3 linked regions of the Stegostoma tigrinum genome follow. The protein of the gene in region 1 interacts with the protein of each later gene in a biochemical or structural test. Links are inferred from orthologs where the notes say so. Each region holds a gene or a part of one and is shown in the gene's direction. Other genes may lie near its edges.

Region 1 (6,906 bases):
TCGTGACACCTCCTCTTGTTGGCTATTTACTATCCCTTCTGACCTTCCGCTCTTTAATGCTGAACATGCCGTATTCAGTAATGATCTTTGTTTTATCCCTCTGAGTCCCCACCTCATCCAACTGCTAGATAGATCTTCAGCATACTTCATTCAAACCCAACACAACATGCACAGCACACTGGTGTCTACCCCTGGGAGTTTGACATTTGATGGACAGGGGAGCTTTCATGCCCCCACTGGCCTCTGGTTAAAATCATCCTGTGCCTCTGAAAAACAAGTGGGCCCTCCTGTTAATTTATGGAAGTTAGTTTTTAATTCTGCTGGTCAAAAGACAAGGTCCAGGACCTTCGTAATTTTTGATGGCGCCTTGCTCAAGGAGCAAGAAAGCAGTACAAAGGAAAATGCGCCTCTCTCTCTACTCAATGCTGCATGCTGCTGCAAGTGTCTGAATTTACAATTCATGTGCTTTAGAGGTATAACTTCTAAATTAGGAATTGATGTGTTAGATGTAAGATGAATGAAACTATCCAACTGAGAAACAATATTGAATTAAGTGGCAATTCAAATACATACAGGTAATCACTGATTCACAGGAGGCCTATAATTATTTAAATTATTTATCTCGTTCCCAGATCAAAAAATCCAAAAGCAACTTTGTAAACAATGAAGTTCTGTGATTGAACAAACAAGTCTACTGAAAAGGGTTATTAACTCCATCAGGAGACACATCATTCATGATGGTGCCAGAATGTAAGGGGGTTTTGAAAACAAAAGATAACTAATTTATATTACAGCTTGGAACATGCCATTTATGTCACACTGCCATGTTGGTATTCTGTGGGGCTTATGGATATTTGATTATTTTCTGGTAAGTTTGCTCAAAGAAGGCAATCAACATTTCAGGTTGGAAACAGAAGGATACAAGTGCAACTTACTGGGGAAAAGAACAAAAGAGATAAATGTTAGCCGACTTTAAACGGAGAAAATAGCACTTTATCATTCATCATGTAGAATGCAGGTTGGAGCTTCTGCTCAGTTGGGAGGCAAAGATCCTGAAGGAAAAGAGGCTGAAAGATTTGCCTATATTGAACTGAATGAAGAACTCTGTATTGGCCTTTATAGGATACAGGGTGAAGAAGGCAGAGAATATGTTATAGAGAAAGTGTCTGCGATTGAGTTAGGGGTTGGAAAGTGGGACTAAGAGCGACACAGGACTTTAGAGGCTATTAGGAACCAAGGCATTGAGTATGTATGCTGTGAATGCAAGGTGTAGGGTCCAAGTTGAGCTGTGAAGTTCACAAGAATGAGTTTAGAGGAAAAATTGGAGAATTTCTTGGCCAAAAGCTAATGAAAGAATCCCGACAAAATCTCTCACCTTAAAAAATACCAGAATGCTGAGAAATTAATTTCAAATCTTTCAAGCTGTGACATACTTGGTTTGAATTCTAAAGGAGAAGTGAATGAATCCACAAGATCCCATAATGTGTTTAATGTGTTTCATAATAATGAAACTCATGTATGTAATTAGGAAGCAAATGAGGAACTGTGTTGTCTTAACAAAATAGAGTTCCAAATAAGTCATGCTTGCATTATGATCTTTATACATGTGGAGAAGGGCGTATTTTGGTTTCAAATATGAAATCCTGTGCATGTTTCTTTCAGTGAATCACTGGGTGCTTAATTCTTTTCTTTAAACGTTAACTGTCTCTATGGAGATTGTAACATTACCCAGACAAATTCACTAACTATGATGGAATGAGGTGGAAGAACAAATCAATATCAGCACTATTGTAAACAGAAATAAAGATTGCTGTAAAAGCTCAGCAGGTCTGGCAGCATCTGTGGCGAGAAATTAGAGTTAACATTTCGGGTCACTCAACCTGAAATATTAACTGATTTCTCTCCACCGGCGCTGCCATACCTGCAGAGCATTTCTGGCAACCTCTATTTTTGTTTCTGATTTACAGCATCCGCAGATCTTTTGGATTTTATTCAGCGTCATTACAACCTGGATCAGTGCAGGAAGAAGTCTCATGATCTCGTCAGGGCTATGAATGTGAGACTCCCCTTCAAAGTTTCCCTAAATCTCTATTTTGCTTCAGCAACAGCAATATTTTCTCCCATCTCTACTCCATACTACTCATAACCACCTGTCAATCACAATGGACTCTCCACTGTCTGTACTTGCATATTCCACTAATCACAACTATTCCCCTCATGTCAACACTTGGTGTCCTTTTCTCCCATATCCTTCTTTATGTGAAAAGAAAGATTGAATGATGTTTCTGAATCAATGCGGTATTCTGAGGCAACAAGGTGTGGAGCTGCATGAACGCAACAGGTCAAGCAGCATCTTAGGTGCAGCATCTTAGCTGACGTTTCGGGCCTAGACCCTTCATCAGAAATGGGTGAGGGGAAGAAGGTTCTGAAATCAATAGGGAGAGAGGGGGAGGCGGACCGAAGATGGATAGAGGAGAAGACAGGTGGAGAGGAGACAGACAAGTTAAAGGGGCGGGGATGGAGCCAGTAGAGGTGAGTGTAGGTGGGGAGGTAGGGAGGTGATTGTCCAGTCCAGGTAGGACGGATAGGTCAAGGGGGCGCGGGATACCGACCCCACCACCAAAGGCACTTTTCCCTCCCCACGCTTATCTGCTTTCCGAAGGGACCACTCTCTCCGTGACTCCCTTGTCTGCTCCGCCACACCTGGCACTTTTCCTTGCAACCGCAGGAAGTGCTACACTTGCCCCCACACTTCCTCCCTCACCCCAATCCCAGGCCCGAAGAAGACTTTACATATCAAGCAAATGTTCACTTGCACATCTGCTAATGTGGTACACTGCATCCACTGTACCCAGTGTGGCCTTCTCTACATCGGGGAAACCAAGCGGAGGCTTGGGGACCGCTTTGCAGAACACCGACGCTCGGTTCGCAATAAACAACTGCACCTCCTAGTCACGGGCCATTTCAATTCTCCCTCCCATCCCTTAGTCGACATGTCCATCCTGGGCCGATTGCAGTGCCATAATGATGCCACCCGACGGTTGCAGGAGCAGCAACTCATATTCCGCTTGGGAACCCTGCAGCCCAATGGCATCAATGTGGATTTCACAAGCTTCAAAATCTCGCCTCCCCCACCGCATCCCAAAACCAGCCCAGCTCGTCCCCGCCTACTAACCTGTTCTTCCTCCCACCTATCCACTCTTCCCACCTCAATCCGCACCCCCATTTCCTAGCTACTCACCTCATCCCGCCCCCTTGATCTGTCCATCCTCCCTGGACTGAACTACCTCCTCCCCACCTACACTCACCTTTACTGGCTCCATCCCCACCTCTTTAACTTGTCTGTCTCCTCTCCACCTATGTTCTCCTCTATCCATCTTTGATCCGCCTCCTCCTCTCTCCCTATTTATTTCAGAAACCTCTTCCCCTCCCCCATTTCTGACGAAGGGTCTCGACCCGAAATATCAGCTTTCCTGCTTCTGAGACGCTGCTTGGCCTGCTGTGTGAATCCAGCTCCACAACTTGTTATCTCAGATTCTCCAGCATCTGCAGTTCCTATTATATCTGATACAGTATTCTGAGGCATCCAGTTCTGGGCAACTTATAAGCAGCCAAACATTTTCAAAGCCCCTTCAGCAGGTTAGAGACTAACCCAGTAGAGAAAAAGCTTGCCAAACTAGAGTGACACACACACAGTCACTTAGTTATGACAGTAAACAGTAAAGAGTTTTACACAGTGCCCTATCCAAGTGGGAGTTTTGTGGTCACATTAATTATTAGAGATTCATTGCTATTAGAATTTCACAAATAAACGTTGCCTAGTAAAGAGTTCATGGAAGCAGTCACATCAATTAAATATTGGACACAGTGATAAAGGGAATGTATCAGCATTCCACAATATGTCGAGTGCTCTGCTGAATTGTTCAACCTTTTAACCAAACCTTGATCAAAGTCCATAGGTGTAGATTGCACCTACAAAAGACAACATTCATAGATTCACTAGCAACTGAACCGACCAGAGTTTGGTAAGCACTTTTTGTGAGCATTATTTTGCCCTGGATTAATTTTTGGATAGAAATACGGCTCGAGTTTAATTGTCAGCAGCAAACATCGCAATATAACTAGTGTCCGCACATTCCCCTGTGTCTGTTTTAATCATTTGACATATTGCTAATCTGTATTTTCAATTTCACTGCTGTTCAAATATTGACTGCAATCATCTGCTATTGAAGTTTAATAGAATAAGCAGGTAAATAACTTTTCATGACAAATTATACTCCTGCTGTGCAACTTAAGTAAAGCAAAAAAGTACAGACACCTTGGAATTCTCAGTGCATACAACTTCCTATTGAAATTACTTTTCTATAATAACGTTTTATAGTCCTGGCTCAATTTTTCAAACTAATATAATGCAACACTATTTATTTAAGTATGATAACTTACTTCTGAAATAGTAGTCTGTAAATGGGGTGATCAATAAATATAAATAGTTTGTTAATTACTTAGGGTATCCCATGTAGAGACATAATATTACTTACAGTCAGACATAGACATAATCTACTGAATGGCCTCCAACTGGACTGTCAGAATTTGTGATTAGGAGATCCACACAGATTTTAACTGAAATCTATTTACGTTAGCTGTGGTCTTGTCCCGGAACCGAAGGCAATATCTAATCGCAGTGGTTTTATACTTTATTTTTGGTTACATCAATAATGCTGTTTAAATTAGAGCTGGCATTAGTACAATAGAGAGGAATGACATATGGTCAGGAAACCAGAATGCAGAAGTAGTTTAGATGGTGATGACATATGACAAAGGGAAGAAGCCATTTATAGGAGTGGTATATAGGCTTTCTAATAGTAAATACACATAAGATGGCAAATATAGGAAGCAATCAGACGGGAATGTCAGAAAGGTTTGGCAAAAATCATGGGGAATTTTAATGTGGTACAAACTGGAAAATTGAATGGGCAAAGATAGGCTCGATGAAGATTTCATAGATATTTTTCAGGATGGTTTCTCAGAGCCGACCAGAGAGCATGCAATACTAGATCTGGTGCTGTGCAATAAGATAGGATTTGAAGTGAAAGTCCCAATAGTTATTGATGACCATAATATGATTGAATTTTACTTTCAGTTGGAGAGAGAGAGAGAGAGAGAGAGAGAGAGAGGAGTGGGTCCAAGACTAGTATTTTAGACAGAAACAAGGGTAATTATGGTGATAAGAAAGTAGGTCTAACTGAAGTGAACAGGCAAGTTAGGTTAAGAGGGAAATCATGTTTAATCAATCTGTTGGAGATCTTTGAGGAAGTAACACATGCTGTGGATAAAGGGGAGCTGGTTGACACAGCAGACTTAGATTTCCACTGCAACTCATAGAGATAGACCTGAAACTGAAGGAAGTCTCTCCCATATCGGGAATTTGCTTATTTTCAAAGGCATTAGTGAAGGCCAAAACACTGGTGTGAAATTGGAATTATTCTTTATTATAGACTAGGAGGAGGGGCCCCCGTTTATAGCAGGTATAGGCTTCCACCAGCAGCAGCTATGCCCACTGGGGTCTCAAAAGCTTGGGAATGCCTTCTGTTCATTTAGAAATCTCTTTAAAACCTACCAGACATTTTCTAATACACTGTATGTGTTTCAGGTGTCAAATATTGGTAGGTAATTACTTCTATGAAGCTCCTTGGGACTATTTACAACCTTAATGATGATGATCAAATGTGAATTGTTGCTCAAGACCTTAAAATGTGCAGGGGCCACTATTCCAGGTGATGCTGGCAGTGATCTTGAGTCTAGCTTTTTCCGGTGAACCCACATTCTCTATGCTGGATGGTAATCTTCATTTGAAAGACTATTCCTCAATGTGGCCTCAGTGTGGACTGGTGTTGTCAATTCTCAAAATTGGCCCTGAGTCTCCAGAACACTGAGTAAAATCACTGGGACTTCTAAAAAAAAGAGGGTGCACTTTCATTCATGCAAATGTGATCCCTCCTATCTGGCTATTATTGGAGACAGGAGCAAGTGAACAGATATTTGACTGAGAGCCAAGCATCAACCTGTCAGATCACACAGAAGTCTGATTGGTTGGTGGAAGCATACTGTATTAGATGAACAACTGGCCAATGACAATACTGTGGTCTGGAACAAAAATGTATTTTTAATCAGCCTATTCTGAGTTACTATCACACACCCCTGAAACAGGTCAGACTTGACGCTAAGCCTCCTGGTCCAGGGTAGGAACACTACCACAGCACCACAGGAGGGTTCCATAACATGGATGCGGTCAGGAAAGTTTAAGATGACATTGGTAAACCCCAATATGGATTGGGAGTGAATTTCAGCTCACTGGGTCTGGCTGTCATTACATCATAAGTGTAAATAGCATGAAACAAAATATATATATTCAATTCACAAGGGGCAAATTAAACTTCTTTCTCCCACCCAGATGTCAGGGTGCAATTTGATTTTCTGAGTGAACAGATTTTCTAATGAAGTTACAATGATCAAGAGGTGGGACAATTTATCCCTCAGTATCCAGTCATGTGTGAGATGTATATGGGCATGATAGCTCTATTAATAGTCACTACTCAAAATGATGACACATGGTTTGGTGTGTATTATAAAACAGTGTGTATACTTATTAAAATTAGCTTATATTTTTTCTGTATTTTTAATATATTAAAACATCCTGTCTTCAAACGAGCAAGTATTAAATGAAATTTGACACAGAGCCACATAAGGAGATACTATGGCAGATGATCAATAAATTGATCCAATTTGTAGATGATAAGGACAAGTGAGATACAGAGGCTGGGAAGTTTAGGGAAGAAATGCCAGAGTTTAGGACACAAGCAGCTTGAAGATAGAACTGCCCAACAGTGGGTGGAATTGGAAGAACAC
Region 2 (7,956 bases), on another chromosome or scaffold:
GGTGGTTAACAAGGCATTTAGCACACTCGTCTTCATTGCTCGGACCTTTGAGTATAGGAGTTGGGACATCATGTTTAGGTTATACAGGACATTGGTGGGGCCTCTTCTGGAATACTGTGTCCAGATCTGGTTGCACTGTTATAAGGAGATATTATTAAACTAGAGAGGGTTCAGAAAAGATTTGCCACGATGTTGAGATATGAAAATAGACTGGAAAGACTGTAACTTTTTTCACCAGAGCACGGAAGGTTGACAGGTGACCTTATCGAGATTTATAAATCATGAGGGGCATACATAAGATGAATGACAAGGTGAGGGAGTACAAAACTAGAGAATATTTTTAAGGTGAGAGGAGAAAGATCTATAAAGGACATGAGGGCAAATTTTTCATACGGAGAGTGGTTCGTACGTGCAGTAAGCTGCCAGAGGTAGTGGTGGATGTGGGTACAGTTATAACATTTAAAAGACATTTGGATAAGTATATGGATAACAAACATTTGGAGGGGTATCAGTTAAGTGCAGATAAGTAGGACTAGTTTAGTTTGGGAATAGGGTTGGCATGGACTTGTTGGACCAAAGAGTTTGTTCCCAGGCATATGACTCAATAAGTAGTGACCTCAGGCCAACCTGACAGGGTCCAGTTTCGTGGCCTCCTCTGCACCCCTTCTGCAATACCCCCATTCACTGGGACCTCCAGATCCCTGAAGAGAAATGACCGTGCCATCTTCCTCTTCTCCCAAACATTCACAATCTGCCTGAAATTGATCAGGGTTCCTTCAGAAGGCCAGTTCCTGTCCGAGTGCTTGGGGTAAGTAGTTGATAATACCTGTTTAGCAAAGTGTGGTGAATGTAGTGTTTGGAAAAAGGTGGACCTTGTTGACTTGGAGGTCCTTGATTTGAGCTGTTAACCCAAGCCATCAAGGAAGCCCTGGCTGACCAGTATAAACAGGGAACTTCAGTGGTGACAGGAGAAAGCAGGGCGTGCCTGAAGAACATTCGTTTGTGGCAGCCATCTTGGAGTTGGGGTAAGCATTTCTGGCATCATGCCTTTATTTGGGAAGCTTAACACATTGATCCTGCCATCGAAGACTGGGCCCAGTATGTGGAAAGAATGCAATTATTTTTTATCCCAGGCAGATGACATTGGGGGCAGATGAAAAGCAACAAGCTATCCTTCTGGCTGCTTGCGGACCCACAGCATTCTCGGTTATAAGGGGTTTAACTTTTCCAGAGGCACCAGATACTAAAACCTTGCAAGAGTTGATGGTTAAGGCAATGGTCTAGCAGAAAGAGTGATCCAAATGTTGAAGCAGCCTATAGCATCACTCAATACCAAACTGTCCCCCGTTCCTGTTCAATTATAGGACTACACCTCACTCAACAACAGTGATAGCTCTATCAGTGTTGCTGATGGGAAGAGGACTCCGTACCAGGTTAAAATTGATGTTCCGAGGCTTGGGGGTAGGGTGAAATGGCAGCAAGAATGCCAATTCCATTCACAAGCCACCTCTAAGCGAGAGAGACAATTTAATTCGGGGATTAAATTGGTGCTGAAGCCAATGGAAATGGCCCTGTCTGGGTACAAGATGAGGTTGATGCAAGGTCAGGTCCCGTGACTTACAAAGTCCGGGTGGCTGAGGCGGTCCTGAACAAACATGCTGATCACCTGAAAGCTGTTACCTCACAAACGGGGAAAGTTGCCAGGAGGCTCGGCAGGAGCCGAAGGTGCTCCCCCTCCACCCACTGTTAGGGAAACTTCAGAGTCTGAAATGGATGCAGCCTTGAAACTGTTGCTGCCGGAAGAAGAGGAGGGAACTCTACTGAGATGTTCCAGATACAAGAGGCAGGCCACGGCCCAGTATGCACCGCCAGTGCCTGGATCTATGAGAGGAACCAGACAAGAGTAAAAATGTTGCAAAAGAAGCTACAAACGAAAGACCAGACCAACCTTCTCAGACTTAGTTGGTGAGGGGTGTAGTGATTGGGACTAGGTAGATCCTGTTGACCAGGACCTCATCGATTGTGGCTGTTAACCTGGACCAATCCAGGAAAGCCCTGGCTGACCAAAATAACCAGGAGATTTAGAATCGCCTCACTTCAGGGGCTGACTCTGAGCTGCCTGGTCATAGCCAGTGTACTGTGTACGGGTATAAAAAAGATGGCTTGGTGACAGGATACTGGTCTCTGAGCAGTTATTTCACTGACAAAATGCACAAGGCCTCACGGCAAAAATCATCCAAAAATGCTTGAGATAACTCAGAGTTAACCAAACGCAACACCCCTCTTGCTTCTGCTCATCAAAGGGATTTTACTGAATTTGGCAAATAGTTTGAATGGTGAGTTTATGGAATACACAGATCCAGCTCTTCCAGGGTCAGCACTTTATGCACCAAAAGTTGATTATAAATTAACGATGTTCAGCCTCCTCATCATTGGTTAGTTATTGCAGGTACACGCTCTATAAGTTTGGCACTGCAGACTTTGCTCTCTTAGTCTATGTATAAAAGACAAGTGTTGAAATACTTTCTTCCCAAACTGGGTCAAGTGTGTAAATGTGAGAATCTGTGAGGAGACCAGTTCCAAGATCAAGATCGGGTAAGGCATGATCATATACTTTTGTAACAGCGAGGTGTCTGGAAATTATAGAGTTGATTGTTAATATTGTTTGCATTTGAGATTACGTAGCTCAAATGTTTGTTCTCTTTATGAACCTAATTCCCTGTTTTATTCAAATGAGTCATAATGAAAAAAAAACACGATTAAAATATTCACTTTTTAAAGTTCATAGTATTGATTAACCTCGGGCATTATATTTGCTAAACACCATTTAACATCTTTTTCAGACCCTGCTTTGTGTTATTTTAACAGTGATTTAAGAAGTTAACAATTGAGTTCAAGCCACTCAAAGGTGTCAAGAAGATAAATTTAATCTAGCAGACAGAGGAAGTTATGTGATTGAATTAGTGGATATAAAACAGAATAATTAATTGAACAGGCTGTGAATCTTTCTGTGTTATGACTAGGACAGTTTGTCTTCCAGCAGAACTGCATCCATTGTTTAGTTTTGAGGATGCTTTTGCCTCTTGAGGACAGTTTCTCTGAAAAGTTGCATTTTGAAGTTAATTACACTATAGCTACTGAAAGCAAAGGCATATTAATGGAATTGACCATAATGATTTATGTTCTGATACCATTATATACATAAATCATATAGATTTCTAAAGTAACAGCGAGTAAATAGGCTACTATTTTAGCATTAAGATATTTTAATGTGCCTTCAGAAGGAAAATGAATAGGTGCGGAGCTGATGTGGGAGTTGAGGAAGATAATCAGATTTTTGGAACGAGATGGATTTTGTGAAGATCTTGAAGAGTGATGAGGTGGGGAAAAGACTGAGAGGTTTAGAGAAAGTGTTTTAGAATGTCAGTCCACGCCACATAAAGATTTTGTCCGAAATGATGGAGCAGAGATGCAAATGTAACCAAAAGACTAGAGGAAATGAGAGCAAATGTGATATTGAATGGGTTAGTGTGGTCACCTTGACCGAGAATTATTATGAAGCAGATGCTGGTAACACATAGGAAGGAGGTTATTAAGCCCGAAAGTTTTTAGAAAAGATTTACAAGGATGTTGCTAGGATTGGAGGATTTGAGCTATCAGGAGAGGTTGAATAGACCAGGGCTTTAATTCCCTGGATCATCAGAGGATGAAGGGTGACCTTCTAGAGATATACAAAATCAAGTGGGGCACGGGTAAGGTGAATAGCCAAGGGTTTTTCTTCCAAGGTAGGGGAGCCCAACTGGTTCTGGACTTTAACATACCTTATACGTGTGTTAGATGCATTCCGAAAGTGTTTCTTTATTCTTGACTTCTGGAATTGTAAGTGCATGATCGCATGTATCAAGGCCATCATCAGTTCCAACCATCGCATTAATCACAAGCTCTGAGAGTGACTCAATCACAGTCCTGACCATATCTCCAAACAGATAGGAAACTGAATAAGCATGGATGATCCAAAATGTTGATTTTTAACCCCCCTACAATGTGGGTAAATTTGGATGATATTCTGACGTGATGGCTGTAATTTATACTAGCCAATGCTCAAATTGTACTGTTTTGTATATGTCTAACACTGTGTTGAAAGCCATGCAAAATGCATGCAGATACCGTTAGAGTTGCCTTGGAGAGAACAACTATCAGTACAGACAGGATCAAGCGAAATGGTTTCTTTGGTTCATTCATTGAAAGAATTGCTCCCAGTGAATGTTTGACCATTCAGTCAGCGGCAGTCTAAAGGAGGAGATGGTATCTAACATCTCCATCAGCATTCCCTGAAAATATGTTCGGGGTTTGCTTCACCACTGCTCTGGTCCATTGGTGGTAATAAATTAACTGCTCATTATCTAATTGTTGTCTTTGGGAGTTTGCAGAAGGCAGTTTAGAAATCCCATCTACCTTATCTTCAGTCTCAACAAGGGATAATATCAGAAAAAAAAAATCTTGGGAAATTTCTCTCTCTGCTTTCGTGGAGGTCTGAGTGGAAGTTGTATCAATTAAGACTTGAAAGGAATCCCTTTAAAAGATCTCTGACTTAGGAATAAACCCTAAAGAGAGAGGGTTGGTTACTTTTCTGGCCCAAGGCACGTTGGAATTACAGCAGAGTGATTTTTTCTGTGACCTATTTGACCCTAAGAAGCAATTGCTTTATATTAGGAAGGAAAGTCAGTACAAGCTAGCAATGCTCTCTCCGATCTGCAAGTGATCCCAGGCTTGGAATTTGGAATAGGATCCTTGGGTTTTGTGAGGGCATCTTATTTTATCAGTGAACATTTGACTATCTACATTGATTTTAAATGTTGGCTTCCTTGGGTTGGACATCACAATGTATCCGGTTTAAAGGAACAGTTTCTCATATTTTCAAACAATCCTCAAATGTTTCATATCTAATAAATTTTGATGTGTAGATGTGCTGAGGTGCAAGAAAATTGTTCCACAATCACAAAGCTCGCAGAAGAAACAAAATTCATTTATATAGCACCGTACACAACTTTGGGGTTTCAACGCTCTTTACAGGTAACTTTAGAAATGCAGTGATGAATGCAGTGACCAGTTTTCAAATGGTAAAATCTCATGTGAAGTAATGAGATATTAGTCTGTTTTCGTAACTTTTGTTGAAGAATAAATAGTGATCAGGCCATCAGGTGGCACAGTGGCTCAGTGGTTAGCATGACTACCTCACAGCGCCAGGGACCTGGGCTCAATTCTACTCTTAGGCAACTGTCTGTGTAGAGTTTGTACATGCTCCCTGTGTCTGGGTGCTCTGGTTTCCTCCCACAGCCCAAAAACATGCACGTTAGATGGATGAGCCATGTTAGGTTGCTCATAGTATCCAGGGATGCTCAGGTTAGGTGGATTAGCCATGGGAATTGCAGAGTTACAGAGAAAGGGTTGGACGTTGGATGTGGGTAGGATGCTGTTCAGAGGCTTGGAAGGAACCTGGTGGGCCAAATGGCCTGTTTTCACACTGTAGGGATTCTATAATCAGGAAGAAGGCCTCTGTTCTTGTTTGAAGTAGCAAAAGTGGGATCTTTTACACCCGCCTGATGGGCCAGTCAGGGCCTCACTTTCTCATCTGAAAGGTAATGCAGTATTGGCGTTGCATTGGAGTGATCAGCGAGATTTTGTAATCAGGTTTCTGGAATGGGTCTCAGAGTCAAATAGCATGGAAACAGACCCTTTGGTCCAACTCATCCATGCTGATCAAGTTCCCAGACTAAACTAGTCTTGACAATCCACAGCAGCCCACCATATAATGTGAAGGTGAGAGTATTACCAGGTAAACCACAGGTGGCCCAAACATTATAGATAGCCTGTATAATAGTGACAATACATACTATTAAAATATACATCCCATACCAAAAATATAGTATATGTTGCATACATTAAGAAGGAAGCATGATTTATTTTGGCTGAGAATTATTATGAAGTCGATGCCAGCAACATGTAGGAAACGGCGTTGTTAAACTTGAAACGCTTCGGAAAGGATTTACAAGGATGTTGCCAGGATGGAGGCTGAAGAGATTGGGACGTTTCTCCCCCAGAGCATTAGAGGCGGAAGGTTGGTTTATAGAAACTTGTGAAACCATGACAGGCATGGATAGGATAAACAGCCAAGGTCTTTTTTTCCAGGTCAGGGGAGTGTAAAGCTCGAGGGCATAGTTTTAAGGTGAGAGGAGAAAGAATTAAAAGGGACCTGAGGACAACATTTTTGCACAGAGGGTGTTGCATGTATGGAACGAGTTGCCAGAGGAGGTAGTGGAAGCTGGTACAATTATGGCATTTAAAAAGCATCCGGATGGGGACATGAATAGAAAGGGTTTAGGGGAATATAGGCCAAATGGGGGCAAGTGGGACTTAGCAAGATTGCGATAACAAAGTATGGAGCTGGATGAACACAGCAGGCCAAGCAGCATCTCAGGAGCACAAAAGATGACGTTTCGAACCTAGACCCTTCATCAGAGAGGGGGTTGGGGAGAGGGAGCTGGAATAAATAGGGAGAGAGGGGGAGGCGGGCCAAAGATGGAGAGAAAAGAAGATAGGTGGAGAGGAGAGTATAGGTGGGGAGGTAGGGAGGGGATAGGTCAGACCAGGGAAGACGGACAGGTCAAGGAGGCAGGATGAGGTGGTCGGTAGGAAATGGAGGTGCGGCTTGAGGTGGGAGGAAGGGATGGGTGAGAGGAAGAACAGGTTAGGGAAGCGGAGACAGGCTGGGCTGGTTTTGGGATGCAGTGGGGGGGAAGGGGAAGAACTGGGCTGGTTTTGGGATGCCATGGGGGAAGGGGAGATATTGAAGCTTGTGAAGTCCACATTGATACCATTGGGCTGCAGGGTTCCCAAGCGGAATATGAGTTGATGTTTTTGCAACCTTCGGGTGGCATCATTGTGGCACTGCAGGAGGCCCATGATGGACATGTCGTCTGAGGAATGGGAGGCCCAGTTAAAATGGTTTGCGACTGGGAGGTGCAGTTGTTTGTTGCGAACCGAGCGGAGGTGTTCTGCAAAGCAGTCCCCAAGCCTCCGCTTGGTTTCCCCAATGTAGAGGAAGCCACACCGGGTACAATGAATACAGTATACCACATTGGCAGAAGTGCAGGTGAACATCTGCTTGATATGGAAGGTCATCATGGGGCCTGGGATAGGGGTGAGGGAGGAGGTGTGGGGGCAAGTGTAGCACTTCCTGCGGTTGCAGGGGAAGGTGCCGGGTGTGGTGGGGTTGAAGAGGAGTGTGGAGCGGATAAGGGAGTCGCAGAGAGAGTGGTCTCTCCGGAAGGCAGACAAGAGTGGGGATGGAAATATAGCTTGGGTGGTGGGGTCGGATTGTAGATGGCGGAAGTGTTGGAGGATGATGCGTAGTATCCGGAAGTTGGTGGGGTGGTATGTGAGAACGAGGGGGATCCTCTGGGGGCGGTTGTGGCAGGGGCGGGGTGTGAGGGATGTGTTGCGGGAAATGCAGGAGACGCGGTCAAGGGCATTCTCGATCACTGCGGAGGGAAAGTGGCGGTCCTTGAAGAATGTGGACATCTGGGATGTGCGGGAGTGGAATGCCTCATCCTGGGGGCAGATGCAGTGGGGGCGGAGGAATTGGGAATAGGGGATTGAACTTTTGCAGGAGGGTGGGTGGAAGGAGGTGTATTCTAGGTAGCTGTGGGAGCCAGTGGGCTTGAAATGGGCATCAGTTTCTAGCTGGTTACCTGAGATGGAGACTGAGAGGTCCAGGAAGGTGACCTCACCACTTAGCAAGATTGGGATGTCTGGTTGATGCGGACAATTTGGACTGAAGGGTCTGTTTCTGAGCAGTATAACTTTTGATTCTATGATTTCGTAAGTTTTTCCCTTGCAGATTGTGCACTGGCATATGTTGCAGTTGTTCCTTTTCCAGGTAGACATTGGGAAGTT
Region 3 (6,988 bases), on another chromosome or scaffold:
CAGAGATGCTGACCTGACTCCAATGTGCTTTAAGAAGCACTGTTCCCACCTCAACTTCATGGGAGAGCAGTGTATCAAGTGTCAGTATTTAACTGGGAAAGGTATCACTCATCCCCATCACCTACTGCAGCAATTGAACTGGGAATCAATTTCCTCCTACTTTTCCTTTATTATAGCATCACATTTTGACACTTCACCCAGTAGCTCATAGTACAGAAAATAACATGCAATACATGGAGGATTCATTGGCTCATGGGATGCAGCGGATCCATTGGAGTTTAGAAGGAGAGGTGATCTTAATGAAACATATGATTATGACAGTACTTGACATACTGAATCCCCTGTGGGAACCATTAGAAATAGGGCAAGTAGTTTAGGATGGAGACCGGACAGATTTTGCTTTCTCCCTCGAGGTTGGTTATGAGCCTTTGGAACTCTCCTTCCCTGAGAGAGGTGGAGGTAAGGTAAATAAATAACAAGGCAGCGGTAGATAGATTCTTGACTGAGAGGGAGTCAAAGATTGTCAGGGCTCGCTGAGAATTTGGAGTTGAGGCCACAATCAGATTAGCCAGGATCTTAACAATTGATGGAGCCGATCGGAGGCACAGAATGGCCAACTGCTGCTCCTAATTTGTATATTAGCAAGTATGTTGGTATCGTTTTTCTTCGAAGAAAAAAACCTTCCATTTTCCACTGGAGCACGAAATCAAGCCTTCTTTCTGCACTGTGATTTCTATTTCAAGCTTAATGTTCATTCTGTACTATTTCAGGTCGCATTCAAACACCCATTGGATAGTCGAAACGTTTGATTATGAAAAGATGTCTTAGCAAAATTAGGTAATGATCCTAGGAACTACCGGCTATGCGCTAGAGAAACGACATTAATTGCGTATTAATGAACCATAGCCTATACGGTTTTACTTTCCAGATTCACTGCAGTTCTCACAATGCTTATGGCAGTGTGGCATATTGCAACAGACATAGAGAACTGATTGAAATAGCTGAGCTCTAAATCAGTCTGACCTGTATAATTTACAATGTTAATTATCGCCTTCTGTCATTTTGACTCTATGCGTTTTTAAATTAAAATTCCCACATGTGGAATTAGCCATAGATAACACGGCATAAGGCTGTATAGACACAGCAGGCCAAGCAAGCAGCATCAGAGGAGCAGGAAAGCTGATCTTTCGGGTCGGACCCTTCTTCAGACATGTGAAATTAGCCATTCAGGCTTTGCAGTGAAACATTGCCAGTGATGACGGGAATGTTTTCAAACGAATTAAAAGTAGCGGCTCAGTAAAGTTCAGAATGCTGAATGTATGCTAATCCGCTCATTGTACAGCAACTTGTGAAGAATCGGGGACCAGAACAATTCTCCCCCCCGCTGGGATGGTGATATCTGTGAAGCAGGAACACGCTTTTGAAAATTCAAATAACAAAATCTGACTTTTTATTTAAGATAATAAAGTGTGAAGCTGGATGAACACAGCAGGCCAAGCAGCACCTCAGGAGCACAAAAGCTGACGTTTCGGGCCTAGACCCTTCATCAGAGAGCCTAGGCCCGAAACGTCAGCTTTTGTGCTCCTGAGAAGCTGCTTGGCCTGCTGTGTTCATCCAGCTTCACACTTTATTATCTTGGATTCTCCAGCATCTGCAGTTCCCATTATCTCTGACTTTTTATTTAACATCTCCAAATGCCGTAAACTCGTGGAAGAACTGGACAACAGTTCTGCGCGATTTCCAGCGAAGTATTTATTGAAAATATTGCACAATCTCTATGTTAAAATGCACTTTTCATTAAGACAGCCCAAAGCAGTGCACAATTGAATTAATTCTGAATATGTACAACGTAAATATAATAACCAGGTCAATTCTTACAAAAAATTATTATTTGACCTTTGTATCTCTAACAGAAAAAAGTGTAATTAATTACAAACCAAACTTTCTCTGTAGATTGCTCTGATTTGTGAAAATCCGAAGTTAGAAAGGCAATGTTTTAATAGACAACGGTGTTGTTTTGAAGTTATTTCTCAGAGGCGTAGCAGAGTTGTTAATTCAGTAACGATCAGGGTGACATCGCAGATTTACAATTTTAATGAACACATTTAGAAAATGAAATAAGGATGGATTTGCAGAACAAGCAAATCTCCATAACAAAAACAAAGTTGCTGGAAAAGCTCAGCAGGTCTGGCATCATCTGTGGAGGAGAAATCTGTTTTCTCCTCCACAGATGCTGCCAGACCTGCTGAGCTTTTCCAGCAACTTTGTTTTTGTTCCTGATTTACAGCATCCACACTTCTTATTAAGCAAATCTTAGTGATTTACCTATTGGAGATGTTTTTCCCTTCACCAGTTCAGCACCTTTCGACACAGGCCGCAGGGATAGGTTGCCCGTATCTATCGTGGTCCACACACACAGCCACAGTACAAACTGCCTTGCAACATTTCTCCCCTTCAACTCTGTGACTTGAAATGTGAGCTCCTGTTTGAGTCCGCATATGGATTAAATCCGCCAATAAAATAAATCAGTTTAAAGGCGCATTCTCTTCAAATACTGAAAACAACAAAAGCCACCCTAAACTTCATGGTTGCACTAAATGAATTGGCCTCCATGTCAGCAGTTACACCCACCTAGCCCTATGTTTGTTTGTGCAGCATTTGTTTTAGTTCTGCATCGTGTGCTGCAGTCCACGTTCTCCTCTCCATTGAGTTCTCCTTTGTCACAGTCGTGATTGTATCATTTTTGTTCCTGGAACTGGTTCGAAGCCTGGGAATGTTTTGCTCGCTGGGAATTCTTGACGAAAATTCTAAAGTTCAATTTCATCTGAAAATAAAAATCAGGTTCAAGTGCCCGAGAGAAAAATTAAAACCAAGATGTAATCGCTGGGGCGATGGGATACCTGGGCAGTAATATGCAAATACAACACACCTATACGAGGGAGACTTTAAAGTTTTTTAAAAAAATAATACCAGCATTCTCCAGCATCTGCAATTCCCATTATCTCTGATCACAATTTTAACCTCACTGCGAAGCCTCTTCCAGGATGCCTAACCTGAAGAAGTTACCCTCTTCCCTCCGGACCGACCTCAGGGAATCTCTATTTCAGAATCCTCTCCCCATCCCCCTTTTCTGATGAAGGGTCTAGGCCCGAAATGTCAGCTTTTGTGCTCCTAAGATGCTGCTTGGCCTGCTGCGTTCAGCCAGCTCCACACTTTGTTATCCCAGCTCTGACATGGTTCCACCAGAAGGATAGGGAATGAACAGGTTGTAATTACCTTGTGCATTCGTTTCCCTGCTGGATGTCAAACGCTGCGTTGGTAATCTTCAGTCATTCATATAAACGTTGCTACAATGAGATTAATTTATTGCTTTTTGATGAGCTTTTCAATAAAAAGGGCAGGCACACGTTTGCTTCGTTTTCTGTCAATATAGTTATCTCATGGGTCATTCAAAATATGGGTTCAGAAGAGAACTGCCACACGTGTGGCTGGTGAAATCAGAGATGTTGCTTCCTGCTGGTGAGAACTGCTGAACAACAAACACCTTGTTGATTCAAAAGTTCAACTACGGCGGGCGCTCCACATTCCCAGAAACCGAACGAGTTACAGTTCGGTACCTTATAGCGAATAACAGCTTTCCTCTAAAAGAAAACTCATTGTGTTTTTAAAAGTCTGTACAAAACAATGTAACGACCGCAAAAGAGAACACGTGGTGATTCCCTCGAGAAAACTCAGATTGAGGGGAGACATGGTCACCCAAAGGACACACAGAAAACTTCCAATGGACTGCCCACGATGAAACTTGTATTCATGATGGTTGCAATGTAAGAATAATAGCAGGTGCATTTGACAATATTCTTGGTATGTTAACCATTAATAAGTCACAACATTTTGTAGTTGTCTTGCAGTCGTTAATGATTACTGAGAACTGGACAGCAATTTGCAACAGTTGAAGTTCTGGCCGAAACGAGGTTTTGCAGATTCAGGAAGGCACAATGCTGTCAAATCTCAGCCTCCCTTTCCCTCCCTCTCTCTCTCTCTCTCTCTGCACTAAGCAGTGACATCATCAGGCAGTGTTAATAAGGTGGGGTGCGGGCAGGCTCTGTTTCAGGTACTGGAAACCCTTCACTGGACAACAATGCAGAGATCACCCATAGAAAAAGCAAATGCCTTCTCTAAACTCTTCTTCAGGTAAGACCAAGCAATCTCACTCTACCCCTCAGGTTCTGTTCTCAAAACAAACAAGTTCGCCGAGTGGAACCTCTACAGGCTTTTATACAGATTTGACCACATTTATTACACCGCCGGTACATTTTCTCTCTCTGACTTGGACGTTGTTCCTTCCCTGCCCGAATTGCAGTGTAATCTACGAGAAGTCTATTTCACTGGGTGTTGCTGAAGAGCGGAATACCAAGGTTCATAGATAAAGGAACTTGAAACTTCAGAAGAACATTTGTCACAGTTCACTAACCGGCAACAACTCCTACCAGTTGCACTGACCTTTCTCAGCCTACTGTTTGTAAGTCAGTCCCCAATCGCTGTAGAAACTGGAGCTTTCGCTGGGGAGGCTTCTCAGTTTGAAGTCCAGCTAAACTTTTTCAAAAGTCTTGCGAAACTTTGCGGCAACTTCTCTCTCGCGCTCTCTCTCCCTGTCTGTCTCTCACCGTGTGCAGAGACGTTGACGGTATAGAGGCCAGAAAATCACGAGCTCATTTAGGATTTCATTGTTGTCATGAAAAGGAAGTATAAAATCACATCGTTACGTTACTCAATGTGCAACACTTGAAGCTGCCCGGGAAAGTTATGCCAGTCTGATTTACAACCAGTTGATTTGTTATAAATTGATCCCAGAGCTTTCGGAGTGTGCGCCCTTTGTGTTTTCAGGACAGACATTTATTGGGAATGCAAATCAATTTTGTTTCAATGGGAGAGGATTTAGCTGTGAGCAAAGGGAATTAAAGATCCGTTCGGGGCAGAATGAAAAAAAAGTTGTAAATGTAAATGAAAACTATTTACTATATGTCTCTGTGGGTGATTCATTTAATTGTCAGTTATGTTAGAAGGTACTTACATGACTGTATATAGTCGCTATTCTGTAACTCCGTCAACCCGAATCCATTATATCTGTACCATGTCTATGTGAGAACCAAGAGTGGGACCAATCACAGCTCAGAATCATTTCAGCCAATCATATTTTAAAATATCAAGTAATCAACTACTGGAGTCTCATATTCTTGTCTCAGACTCTCAAACCAAACATAACAGGGTTCTCAATTTCTACCTTGTCATTTCAGGTGTTCTCGGGCGGGAAAGTTTATCAAACAGTCTAGAAAAAAATAACTTTGCCGAAATAAAACAGCTATCATGCAACCTACATCAAATGTTCAGTTACAGAATTAGATTAATCGAATCATACGGTTCGGAAGAGGTCTTTCGGCCCATCGAGTCTGCTCCCACCGTAATAAGAGTTTATATCTACATTAGTCTCATTTTCCAGCACTGACCCTACGACTTAAATGTTATGGTATTTCAAGTGTTCCTCCAAGTGCTTTTTTTTTAAGTTTGCGAGGTTTCCAGCTTCAGCTACCCTCCCAGGCAGAGCACTCCACATTCCCACCACATTCTGAGTGTAGAAAAAAAAATCTTCACTACCCCTCCAAAACTCCTCGTTTCACCTTGAAATTATCCCCTTTGTTATTGACTCTTGAACTAAGGTGAACAGCTATTTTCTACCCGCCATGTCCATGCCCGTCGTAATCTTTTAGACCTCAATCAGGTCTCCTTTCAGCCTTCTCTGTTCTAAAGAAAACACCCGAGCGCATAGCCTCGCAACTTCCTGGTGTATCTCCTCTGCGCCCCTCTAGTGCAATCGCATCCTTTCTATGGGGAGATAAGCTGACTGCACATGGTACTGCATTGGAATCTAACCAAAGTTCTGTATAGTTCCAGCATAATATCCTTGATTTTTTAGTCAATGCAGGGACTAATAAAAGTGATTGTCTTAACTACCTTGTTAATCTGTCCTACCACCTTCAGGAATGTGTGCGCAAACACCCCAAAATCGTTCTGTTCCTCGGAACTTGCTTGTTTATTGTCATTCATTGAGTATTTTCTTGTCTTGTTACTGGTTTCAATTATACAGCACGCCACCTGAGTACGCTCTATAGACTAGCTATTTCCATACTTTTCCCAATACTTTAATACTTAATTCATTTCTCAAGTAAATTCCCAATTCCGTTTCGAAATTGATTCCGTCATACTTTTGGGGAGTGCATAATAACCTCTTGTGTAAAATTAATTCTCCTCAACTTCCTTACAGCTCCTTTCCCAATTATTTTGAAAAGCCCTCCCTAGGCCATTGTCTTACTGGTGGAAACAATTTCTTCCAGTCTTTTCTATCAACGCTCCACTAATCTGAAAATTTGTATTAAATCTTCATATATTCTTCTCACTCTAAGGCAAACAGCTCCAGTATCCCAGCAATAATTTAGAGAATGTTACTCACCTCTTCATCCTAATTTCCAGGTCTTCCTTGTCTTCTCTCTGTTATAGAAAACATCCCGAAATCGAGCGTGTGGATACACGCCTGAAGTTCAGGGTCCAGTTTTTTTTCCCCCCCTCAGGGCCGATATTCAATAAACAAGAAAACTTGTCCGAGTGTGTTACATTAGGGGCCATAACTACGTAATACGCACAGTTATGCCACTGTCCATCCTCACTCTCCAATACTAACCACGACCATTGTCCACTCTCCTATTTCCTCTCGCTTCAGCATTTTCCATCTATAACCTCATTCCCAGTTGCTTTAACTTTGGCATCTCTTGGGAGCGAGCATGAAATGAATTATGGATCGCCGCAACAAAAAATGAACTTTGACAAAAACTTGCTCAGGCCACAGAGGGTGCAAGTAGAACTGTGATCCAGAAATAAGTGACATCAACAGAGAGAGAGAGGTGGGAACAGTAAGAGAAAGGTGACGATACTAACA

Evidence for each region. The genes of interacting proteins can lie anywhere in the genome.
Region 2: the proteins of pdzk1 (region 1) and sodium-dependent phosphate transport protein 2A-like form a complex in vitro, tested with the Homo sapiens proteins (2 studies listed by BioGRID and IntAct, with this or other methods). The link is inferred for Stegostoma tigrinum from reciprocal best matches to the Homo sapiens genes PDZK1 and SLC34A1.
Region 3: the proteins of pdzk1 (region 1) and cftr form a complex in vitro, tested with the Homo sapiens proteins (2 studies listed by BioGRID and IntAct, with this or other methods). The link is inferred for Stegostoma tigrinum from reciprocal best matches to the Homo sapiens genes PDZK1 and CFTR.

The regions. Positions count from the first base shown.
Region 1 is NC_081359.1:15,465,636-15,472,541, forward strand, and holds the start of pdzk1 (Na(+)/H(+) exchange regulatory cofactor NHE-RF3), read left to right. Parts: upstream 1-3,904; 5' UTR 3,905-4,025; intron 4,026-6,906. UniProt on the Homo sapiens protein: A scaffold protein that connects plasma membrane proteins and regulatory components, regulating their surface expression in epithelial cells apical domains.
Region 2 is NC_081366.1:72,046,644-72,054,599, reverse strand, and holds the start of sodium-dependent phosphate transport protein 2A-like, read left to right. Parts: upstream 1-4,941; 5' UTR 4,942-4,956; coding exon 4,957-5,073; intron 5,074-7,924; coding exon 7,925-7,956.
Region 3 is NC_081371.1:34,862,526-34,869,513, forward strand, and holds the start of cftr (cystic fibrosis transmembrane conductance regulator), read left to right. Parts: upstream 1-3,973; 5' UTR 3,974-4,138; coding exon 4,139-4,191; intron 4,192-6,988. UniProt on the Homo sapiens protein: Epithelial ion channel that plays an important role in the regulation of epithelial ion and water transport and fluid homeostasis. Mediates the transport of chloride ions across the cell membrane.